3 linked regions of the Drosophila melanogaster genome follow. Changing the gene in region 3 together with the main gene of any one other region gives a genetic interaction. Each region holds a gene or a part of one and is shown on either strand. Other genes may lie near its edges. The genes, in order: Gdh, Orco and shop.

Evidence for each region.
Region 1: of shop (region 3) and Gdh, changing one suppresses a phenotype caused by changing the other (phenotypic suppression), as found in Drosophila melanogaster (one study listed by BioGRID).
Region 2: of shop (region 3) and Orco, changing one enhances a phenotype caused by changing the other (phenotypic enhancement), as found in Drosophila melanogaster (one study listed by BioGRID).

The regions. Positions count from the first base shown.
Region 1 is NT_033777.3:23,941,173-23,944,928, reverse strand, and holds the start of Gdh (glutamate dehydrogenase), read left to right. Parts: upstream 1-1,827; 5' UTR 1,828-1,917; coding exon 1,918-2,335; intron 2,336-3,756. Other genes in the region: CG12268 (uncharacterized protein), read left to right, coding at 135-244, 314-764, 823-1,240.
Region 2 is NT_033777.3:5,410,663-5,414,418, reverse strand, and holds the start of Orco (odorant receptor co-receptor), read left to right. Parts: upstream 1-2,012; 5' UTR 2,013-2,024; intron 2,025-3,756. UniProt on the Drosophila melanogaster protein: Odorant coreceptor which complexes with conventional odorant receptors (ORs) to form odorant-sensing units, providing sensitive and prolonged odorant signaling and calcium permeability.
Region 3 is NC_004354.4:18,846,858-18,850,613, reverse strand, and holds the start of shop (shopper), read left to right. Parts: upstream 1-2,047; 5' UTR 2,048-2,325; coding exon 2,326-3,232; intron 3,233-3,295; coding exon 3,296-3,756. Other genes in the region: htk (hat-trick), read right to left, coding at 1-734. UniProt on the Drosophila melanogaster protein: Required in ensheathing glial cells for normal larval locomotion. Oxidizes sulfite which is required to maintain glutamate homeostasis and as a consequence, neuronal network function.

The sequences.
Region 1 (3,756 bases), on a different chromosome or scaffold from region 3:
AGTAAACAAACGCTTATAAAGATTTGGGCTATCTAAATACTGGCTGAAATATAATGAAGTGCCTATAGTTTCATGCTCCTTTACAGGCGTACCTTGGTGGCACCTAATAACCAGTTTCTTTGGCTTATTTTTAGATTACTAAACGGCTTGCCAAACACGTACGCTTACAGCAAGGCGCTGTCGGAAGATTTAATTTGCAGATACAACAATAAGCTGCCCATAATCATCACAAGGCCCTCGATCGGTGGGTATACCATAGTGTCTACTCTGTTTTTGTGCCTCCTGGCTAATTGCTTTATTAAATCCATTGCAGTGACGGCCGCCATTCACGAGCCATTGCCCGGCTGGATCGAGGGCGTCAATGGACCCACCGGCCTAATGATCGGCGCCGCCCGCGGAGTCATCCGATCGATGCACTGCAATCCGGACTACGCCTCCACGGTGATACCCGTAGACAAGGCCATTAACGGCATGATCCTGTGCGGCTATCAGCGCGGAAAGGCCAGCCAGGAGAAGGGTAACAAGCAGACGGGTGTTGAGTTCTGCAATCTGTGCATCTCCAGCAAGGCGCTGATGTCCTGGGGCGACAGCATCGAGACGGGTCGTCGATTCTTCTACGAAACGCCGCTCAGCTTTGCGCTCTGGTATCCGGGTGGATCCATCAAAAAGAACTACTACCACCACCTTTTCTGCGTCATCTTCTTCCACTATCTGCCCGCATACTTCATCGACTTTTGGCTGCTCGTCTTTGGCCAAAAGCCATTGTAAGTAAACGGTTAAATTTTAAGTTCTCCTATTAACACATGGATTATTCCCATCCAGCTTACTCAATGTCCAACGCAAAGTGTCCATGGGTCTGAAGCTGCTGCAGTACTACACAACGAAAAGGTGGGAGTTCCGAAACGAGCGCTTCCAGGAGATGAGCAGTCAGCTGAGCCTCCTGGATCAGGACCTCTTCGACACGTCGGTGGGTCAGGTCAATTGGGAGACATACATCAGTAACTACATTGTGGGCATGCGCACCTATATACTGGGCGAGAGCGAGGACACTCTGCCGCAGGCCAGGAAGGTCCTGCGACGGCTGTATATCCTCGACTGGGTCAGCAAAGTGCTGTTTTTCTCCCTGAGCTTCTGGTTCCTGTGGACCCATTTGGATGGCTTCGTGGAACGGAGCGATGCCTTCATCCGATCCTCGCTCAGCACCATTTACCATGAGCGAAACAGCACCATACATGTATAAACTCTTCTTTAATTATGTACTTCAAATATAGTCCACAAGATTTTGTTTCTTTTTAAGTAAGCTAGCTGTGTTTTATTTCTATTTTAACTAAGGATTAAAACTCAAAACAGTCACATAGGAATTGTGTGAAAGATCAATAGCATGATAAGCCCGAAAGTTACGTGGTAAATTCCTGAAAGTATGAGCTCTAAATAAAAAATTTAGCAAAACCTTTAAAAAAACACCTTATATAAAATATACCTTGTATATATCGTTTGTATTGTACTGTACGATGTTTATTACTTAGATTTTCAAGTGCTTTCTAAAAGAAACTCAGTACCCCCCTGAATTCAACATATAGCCGAAGATGATAAATCATAGCTTAATCTTGGAGTCAAAGAAAAACGTGAACGTGAAACCGATAACAAATACCTAATCTCGCCCTGGCAACGAAGCGAGTAATCCGCCGGCGGTGGTGCCGCGTTTCTAGCGGGCACTCCACCCACAGAGCTTTTCGGTGAAAAGTTTGCACCGCTCTCGCCGGAGAGCAAAAAGCTCGGCGCTCCGAAAAAGCCGACATATATATACATATCTATGCGAGTGCCTCGGCCAGTTTGGTGCGGCGTCGAGTAGCGAGCGGTTGTGTAGAACAGAATAAAAAAAGAGTTGGAACCCGAAGAATCCAAGCGATTAGCAGCATGTATCACCTGAAGAGTCTGGCCCGCCAGGGCGCCCGCCGCCAGCAGGAGCTGGCCACGCTGGCCAAGGCACTGCCCACCGCTGTGATGCAGTCGAGCCGCGGCTATGCCACCGAGCACCAGATTCCCGACCGCCTCAAGGATGTGCCCACCGCCAAGGATCCGCGCTTCTTCGACATGGTCGAGTATTTCTTCCATCGCGGCTGCCAAATCGCCGAGGAATCGCTGGTGGACGACATGAAGGGCAAGCTGACCCGCGACGAGAAGAAGCAGAAGGTGAAGGGCATCCTCATGCTGATGCAGCCCTGCGACCACATCATCGAGATCGCCTTCCCCCTGCGCCGCGATGCCGGCAACTACGAGATGATCACCGGCTACCGCGCCCAGCACAGCACCCACAAGACGCCCACCAAGGGAGGCAAGTGTTGATCCAAGATAACCCAAGATATAATAGTCAGAACTCTGCACGTAGGTAGTAAAAAATGAGACGTTAAGAGGTTTTCAAAAGGGATGCAAACAAAAGTGCCAAACCTATAGAGACCACTAGATGATTCAGTTTTCCTTGAAAATCTAAAACAAAAAATGCAATTACCTAGCAAGTTTAAAGCAAAAATTTGTCAACACTTACTTAAGTTTTAAGAAACCCTCAGAACAGCTGTTGTCGCTCGATGCAAAATCGATTTTTCCTTAGGCATTTCTGGCATTTCGTCTTGATTTTTCAAGTTATGTAACCCAGTATATAAGCCACACCAGACCAGACCCCCTTTTCCCCACGTTCTGCGCATGTACCGCTGCCGCCTGTTTTGTTTACGTTTTAGCCGACTGGGCTCCCCCTTTCTCCACATTTTTTTTTTTTTTTTTTTTGTTATTTGAGGGTTTTTAGGCCGCATTGCATAAGGCTCGGACGTTGGGCACACGTGTTTGCATTAGATTTCCAAACCCTTCAAGTGTGCCACCATTCAAAAACAGATGTACATATGCTGAATGTACTGCCCGCTTTTCGCACATTTCATTATTTTCGAGCTGGCAAATGTATTTCGATTCTTTCGCTGCTGTTTGTTTTTCCTTTGGCTGGGTGCTATTTATAATGAACTTTTGCTTGTGTTTTGCTTTCTAATTGAAATGAGAGCACAGCACTGCACAGTGTGTCAAGTGCTAAAAAAAAAGTAACGCCCCTAACCACCAAAAAAAAAAAGAAAAAATCTCCTTGTTGTCAGGCCACAAAAATTGTTTGTTCCGAATTCTGTTCCTTTTTTTTTTGCTTCATCTCAAATTATTAATTATAGAATCAGTTTGGTGCTTATCAAAAGCAAAAAAAAAAGAACACAAAAAATATGTAGTGAAAAATATTCGACTAGGGAATCTTATCTGACCTTGGTTATGCGCAAAAATAGAAAACAGAAACAGCCGAAAAAACGCTATGCCCCTAAAATTTGTTGTTTACGATTATTGCCACGCTTCTTAACACTTTATGATCTTGTTTTCGATCCATAGATCGATCGATCGATCATGTGGCTTAGTTAGTTGGGTCACCAAAAGTTGTAAACAGCCTGTTACTAAGTGAATTGAATCCACCTTATGGCTCGTTAATGATTCACTCAAATAGCCAGCTCTCTGCTATTTCAGTCAAAGGTGCTAAAAATTGCTAGTCTATTTATTTACTTAGTACTACTAGATCAATGGACAGTGTTTAATGGCCACCATTTTGTGCGCTCCATGCTCTAATTAATGTTAATTCCCGCTGATGCATCTGCCATTTGGCTGTTAATTATTTAATACGTTCTGCGTATGTACATACATCAAGTCCCCGGTCTCGAATTTCGGCAAAAGTGCCCCTTT
Region 2 (3,756 bases), on a different chromosome or scaffold from region 3:
CTGTGCTGCTCTCCTCTGCCCTGCTCTCCTCTGCTGAGGAGAGATTTTCTTATACGAATCTCTGCAAAGAGCAAGGAACGAGTCCTTCGAGAGCGAGAGAGAGAGAGAGAGCTCTCAGATGGCGAGTCACTTCTCTTGTTGCATTTCACAGGCTCAACGAGCCACAGATAATGCACGTGAGTTGCTGAAGCTGCCAGATGGTTCAGATTGCTATGCCTTTAAATATAAAATGGAACACGTCCTTAAAAATTAAATATTATATACATATATATATAAGAGAGAACCCAAAATGGTATCTAAGCAGAAGTGCAACAATATAAAATTAAGCTTAGAATTATTATTATTTTAATAGCTATCACTATCGATTTGCACATTTTTATCCGTATGAAAATAAAAATTAGGCAAGACACTTAAAATTAAGCATGCAAATTCTAATCACATGATTATTATAGATTCTATTAATACTACTACTGAGCCAACTTATATCGATATTCAAATAATATTTGTATTTTAATCTTCCACACGTTATATAGGCATATTTAATGCACCTCATGCTTTTACATAATTGCCGAAAGAGTGGCAACGTCTTGCCACAGCGTCTCTTATAATTTTAAACTCGTGGAGCTGAGCCATCTCAGATTTAACTCTCCCTGCGCATGCTCTCGCGTGGGAGAACAACTTCGAATTTCGGGCAGAAGGATAACAAAGAAAGCACTCCAACGAAACGAACACCCTACAGACTAATATAGAACACCACAAGACCAAAACTCGTTTAGTTGCCGCGTTGACAACTTTGTGGCAGGCGGCAAACAAACAAACCTCACACTAGTCCTGAATGTCCTTTATGCGGACAGCTGTGGGGGCGGGGATCCTGTTGCAATTCCATTGTGAAAGCCAAATGCATTGACCTGCTTAGACAGCTGAGAGATTTACAACTCCCCTATAACTCCTGGCCGTGCTGCAGTTCTGGGAAAGGGAGCAGCGGCATTAAATGGCAAATAAATCTAAAGTTAAACTTTTGACACTGTCTCGGCGAGCAGCCACGAAGGCACTTCCTTCCGACTCCCTCGACTTCCGGTTGGAATCTGTCGCCCTGTCAGCGGCAACAGAAGAAGTGACACTGGCACGCAGACAAGTGCACTGAGAGAAATTGCTTCGGTCATAGCTCAGTGAAATACTAATTATTTCTGCTGAGAAATATTGACAATTTAAAACAAAAGTCATAAAATATGAGCATACATTTTTTATGATTAACTAAATACTAATGCATTCGTTAAATATATATATACCGCCGAAAACAAATTAAGACATTTCCTATTCTGTCAATTACAATTTCATATTCAGTTATATTGTTTTAAACTAAACTGGCGATATATAAACTTTCTGGCTGAAAAATCTTTCTGAAATTGTACACCAGCAATTTCTCCATGTGTACTACTGTGCGATGTATAAGGATTGGATTTATGAGCGCCCAGCACCTCTACCGAAATCTTATAAAACCCGGGAATAAATAATAATAATTCTTGCGCTTTTCGCTGTTGTTCGCATTTCCCGCATTTCTCTGCCATTCTTTTCCATTCTTATGACAATGTCAACATTTCTTTTGCTCCCCTAATGGCCTGAAGAAAGCACACGCACACACACACACACATATAGACCACTCGCACACTATGAAACCGAATGTGGCACACACCCCACGCACTTATTTATATGTATTTTCGATCGTCTGTTGTTTTTCCAAGTCGGTTATGCATAGCCATAAATTCTGGTAAAAGCCTTCTGTAGGTCGAGGGCCACGGCGGTCCGAAAATAAAGGAATTGCTCCTGATGCTGGCACTTACGCACACAGCCAAGCAGCAGGATGGGAGAGAGAGGACCTCGCACACACGGACTCACGCACTCACACGCAATTGGTGTTCTCGCCGTTTTTGTTTGTCACTTAACAGATTTTTCTGTCCTTGCTGGGTATTGATTTCTAATTTTTCCTTCGTCGGCTTTGCGCCCCAAAGAGGTTTTTATAATGTGTGCGTGTGTGTGTGTGTGTGTGTCGCATTGATTTCGCAATTTATGGGCGATTTGATGGATTGCTTGAATAACTTTATATGCTTATTTTTGAGTTTTTATTGTTTTACAACTTGCGGTATTTTATGTAGAGATCCTGTGGACGACCTAATGGAAATCATTTGGTTTTGGCTGAAATGCGGCCATAAAGGTGTGAATCAAAATAATGTTGCCTATACTTCGGGTATATCATTTCATATGGAAAGCGCTTAATAATAATTATATAAATATATAATTTCTAGTTAATGTGACTTTATTAACCCATTAGTGCGTTTTAATCATTTAATTTGGCATCAGAATCGATCACAGTCACGAACACAAAAGCGTAATGGTAAAAATAAAGGCTCATTTGTTTAAGTTGTAAATTAAATAAAGCAAGTGTCACTTTCCATTTAAATGTTGCCTAATAATTAATGACAAAAGGCTGCAGGGCTCACGATGTCCGCGGTTAGCTAATTGATCCAAACGCATCCGCGTAATTAAACTTTCAGCCACAAGCCCATAAAATAAATCAAAAAGCGAAGGACCGAAAGGGGCAACATTTAGGGGGGGGGGGCTTGTTTCGCATGGCTGAGTTCAGGACGATTAAACGTTAAATCAATATTGTTAAATCCCCGCTCGCATCCCCGCAATCCACACAGGCAAGTGTTCACGTATTAATTGATGTTCGTGAGTGTCCTGCATTTAAATAATCCATGATTTGGGACATCTGTGTCTGAGTTCCCATTCATATATGTATGCATATGTGTATATGAGTGGTGGAAACTAGCTGCAGATATAGCTACAGACACAGATACATTTACATTCCGGCACATAGTTTTAAGTGTGATTCAGTTATTCACAATAGTCGCCGCTTTTTGTTCTTGCCACGTTTTAATATTGTCACAACTAGTTTCGAATAACTAAATTGGATGTTTTCGATTAGCATTCAATACACTGCTCAGCAATTTCGTTTGCGTTGCAATTTGAGTACTAGATTTTGAATTAGACAATTGTTTTATTAATTGCCTACATGTATATTACCTAACTGATTTCGAAGGCCACTTGTACGACCTTGAGATAGAGTATTAATTATTTAAATTCTACTGTATTATAATTGCAAAGAATTGTAAGTATTCATAATATATAATGGCAACCCAATTTAAGACTTCTTTTGAAGGCCCCCGCCTACCGAAATTCAGTGCCTATGAGAACTGAGAACGAAAAAAATTGAGCAAGGACCAAATATCCATCAGGCTGAACACACACATTTTCATGCAAATAGGCAATGTGTTATTTTTTTGGGTCAGCGATTCACGGAGGGATCCCCACCAAATGGGTTGGCTGAGGAATGGCCTATCCCCATATCTCAGCGGCACTTGGGGCAGGCCAACAAATACAAGCAGGCATAATAAAATAATCGATGCTTTTAAAATTTGCATAAGTTTGGATACCGCAGATGCCGCGCAAGGATGAGCCCATCTCCAGTCCCAGTGCCATTCCGCCAGTGCGCATACGCCGCGTGGAGGGCACAGGACTGGGCCATGGCCCATGGCCCAAAAGCGGAGTCCTAGACCCGGAGACGACAGCAGTGGTGGACAAGTTCGTGGGCGTTCGATTTAATTGTGGGAATTCTGCGTCTGCCACGCACCCATCACATCGATGGACGTGGCTGAAGAGCTGAATTTTTAAGCGCTCCAAGGCGGCCCGATACCC
Region 3 (3,756 bases):
GTCGCTGCGTCCCCGTCCGCGCTTGGCACCTCCCGTTGGTGGCGTCTTGACTACCGTAGAGAGCAGCGAAGGTGTGGAGCTAGCGCCTCCCAAGGATCCCGACAGCGACGGAGCTCCAGGTCCAGTCGAATTTCCCGATGAGGGTGACATTTTGGAGCAGCCATCCTTGCCTGGCTGCTTATCGGACACTCCTGGGGGCTGTGAGCCCTGCACCAAAAGGGAACCTCCTCCTCCTCCTCCTCCTCCTCCACCTCCACCTCCACCGCCACCACCACCACCACTACCGCTGTTCGCACTGCTGGTGCTAATGGTGCGAGTTTTCTGCTTGGATCCCTTGGTCAGGTTCTCGGCAATCCGTTCGCGTGGCACCCACTCATCGTAGCGATTGTTCCAGCCTGTGTAATGTACCAGGTACATGGGCACTCCGCGCTGGACACTGATCTCGATGACCTTGGCCTCGTAAGTGCTGCCATGCGAGCTGGGCGACTTCTTCTCGTGGTAGTTCACCTTCAGCTTATCCCCGATGCCCACCACAAAGTCGCCGGTGTCGATCTTCTCCACGCTAATCTTCTCCTTCTTTCGCTTGCCGCTGCTCGCCTGCTTCTCCTCCTTGTCCTTGTCCTTCTCCTTGTCCGCCTGCTTGCTCCGCTGGTGCTTCTCCTTCTTGTTGGACGCGGTCTGGGCGGTGGCCGCTGCTCCGGATGTGCTTGCGCCAGCAGACGGCGGTGCAGCAACTGAAAGTAAGACATATTTATTAATAAACGTCGATTCTTCAAAATCTGTTTTATTTATTAATCATCAAAATGCCCTTATTCCTAACTCGTTACTTGTGGTTATTAATAAACTATTATTGTTACTTTTTATTTGGTGGTTTTAATGAATTTTATAGGGTGATATATATAGATTATACATAATTAAACATTTTTAAAAATACTTTTCACAACATTATGATCTTAATCATTCAACTACTTTAATGTTTCATCTAACAAAAACTATTCAATCCAACGAAATGAAGAGCAGAACAATTAATAATTATTTACACACGCCCTCGCGCATTTTCGCATTTTATTTATAAACATTTCTGAGACATCTTGGTTCGAAAGAGAGGGAAGATGCCTTCAAAGACAATAAACAACTAATCAACATGAAAGCATAATCGTGCTTGCATTACTACAGATATGTATATCCACGAAATACACGAAAATTTATTTGATTAAAAAGCGTTTTAAAAAGCTCCACCAGTTAGAAAGAGTGCGGTGATAAATAAATCACCATTTTCACATTAGTGAGGATTAAAAAACAAAACAAACTTTCTGGTGTTAAGCAAAAAGAGAATTTATAAGATATTCGTACAAGTTTAAACGTTTTTCTTTTTGCTATTCATATTTTCTCATGAGCTCTCCCTCGAATTAGAGGGAGAGGGAAGATGAAAGCATATCTTATCACATTATCATACCCATAAAAATAAACAAAGCAACAAGTGCTTTTGTCAGAGCTTTTTATCTGCAAATATCCGTGTTTTAACGAGCTTAATTTCTCTATTAGCGTACATTTTAGTTATTCACTCTTGGCCGACAACTTTTGCCCAAGTATCGATACTGGGAATCGATACTTTCAGGTGGGCTGGCGAGTACTTCGCGCATGTTGAAAATAGGTAAAATTAGAGTCGAATTGCACATACTCTTTACCTACAACCATACTTAATGTATATACTGCCACTTGGTGCAATTTTCAATATGTATTTTCGATACATATTATAACTATGGTAAATTTTTGATATTTCAAGCAGCATTTATAGATAGAAACTACTTTATAGTTACATATGGTTATAGTGCATTATCTACAAATGATTAAATGATTATAACTATTTTCACAATTAATAATGTTAATGTTTAGTTTATCTCATCACCAAGTACACTGTCTGTACTCTTCATAAAGTTTGATATACACCAACGAGATGGTGAAGTGTAGCTACCCTCTGGAAAGGGTATAGCAAACAACACGAAACAGGGTTGCCTACTGCGGGAAATATCGCATGGGGGCATGGATACAGTGTGTTTTGTTGTCGAGGAGCGGCTGGTAAACAGCCGAATTAGCGCTCCCAAGATTGCTTATCAATTAAACCAACGCCGATTGGGGGCCAGAGGCTGCTGGGGCCAATGACGCCACTGGACAAACCACAAGACATATCACTTAGGAGGCCACATAAATCAGCAGCGAAACAGATTCACCGGAGCGGCAAGAAGCAGAGCGGGGAAGCTTGAGATTGGTTTGGATTTCTTTCGAAACGAATCGACTGATTTACCGGTGATCAGTTACATAACAATGCGCTTGCTCAGGCCCAGCTGGGCGGGGTTGCTGCGCGGAAGGCACCACCAGCACCAGCGACATCACCGGCGTCTCCTGCTGACCACCAGTCGCGGTAGCAATGGAGAAAGGGAGGAGCAGCAGCACAGCCAATGGAGTTCTCCCGGCAGCAGGTCGGAGCAACTGTTCTATGCTGCCTTTTGGGCAGGTGGCCTGACCCTAGGCTACCACTGGCTGACCGACAAGAAGAACCATGTGCTGCTCGAGGGACAGAAGGTGGCCAGCGAGGAGGAACTAGAGGCAACGGCCCGACTGTGGCACGTGACCAACAGAAGGGAGTTGCCCACCTACAGGGCAGAAGAAGTGGAGCAGCACAACAGCGTAGAGAAACGCATTTGGGTCACCTACGGCCTGGGCGTATACGATGTCACGGACTTTGTCGAGAATCATCCCGGTGGCGATAAGATCTTGATGGCCGCCGGCAGTGCCATCGATCCCTTTTGGGGCATCTACCAGCAGCACAATACGCTGGAGGTTCTGGAGCTCCTAGAGGGCTTTCGCATTGGCAATCTGGAGGGACTGGTGGTGACCAACGTGGACGATGAGCTGGGCTCACCCTGGTCACAGGAGCCGCAGCGCCACGCCCTGCTCAAGCCAGCCTCCAAGAGACCATTCAACGCTGAGCCACCCATTGGATTGCTGGCCGAGCAGTTTTACACGCCCAACGAGCTATTCTATGTGCGCAACCACCTGCCAGTGCCAGTGATAAATCCGGAGGATTACGAGCTGGAAATCGAAGGTGGCGCCAAGGACAAGACCCTCACTCTGGACGGGATCAAGGCCCTGCCCAAGCACTCGGTCACGGCGGCCATCATGTGCGGTGGCAATCGACGCTCTGAGATGACCAAAGTCAAGGCCGTAAAGGGTAAGTCGTCTGGTTAGGTATCTCTCTGATGATTCCCTTAGGTCCATTTGTCCCTATTCCGAGGTCTTTCATGGGGAGCTGGTGCAGTGGGCAATGCCAAGTGGTCAGGAGCTCGACTGTGCGACATTCTAAGAGAGCAGGGCGTGCAGCCGGATGAGACCAAGCACGTGATCTTCGAGGGTGCCGACCTGGATCCCACTTCCCACCCGTATGGAGCATCGATACCACTCGCCAAGGCGCTCGATCCCAGGGGAGATGTCATCCTGGCCTACGAGATGAACGATGAGCCGCTGAGCAGAGACCATGGCTTCCCCATCCGCGTAATTGTTCCCGGCACAGTGGGCGCTCGCAACGTGAAGTGGCTAACGCGAATCGTGGTGGCGGACAAGGAATCGGACTCGCACTGGCAGCAGAACGACTATAAGGGCTTTAGCCCTAGCACCGATTGGGACACGGTAGACTTCAGCAAATCGGATGCCATCCAGGCCATGCCGGTGACATCGGCCATCTGTACGCCACAGCCA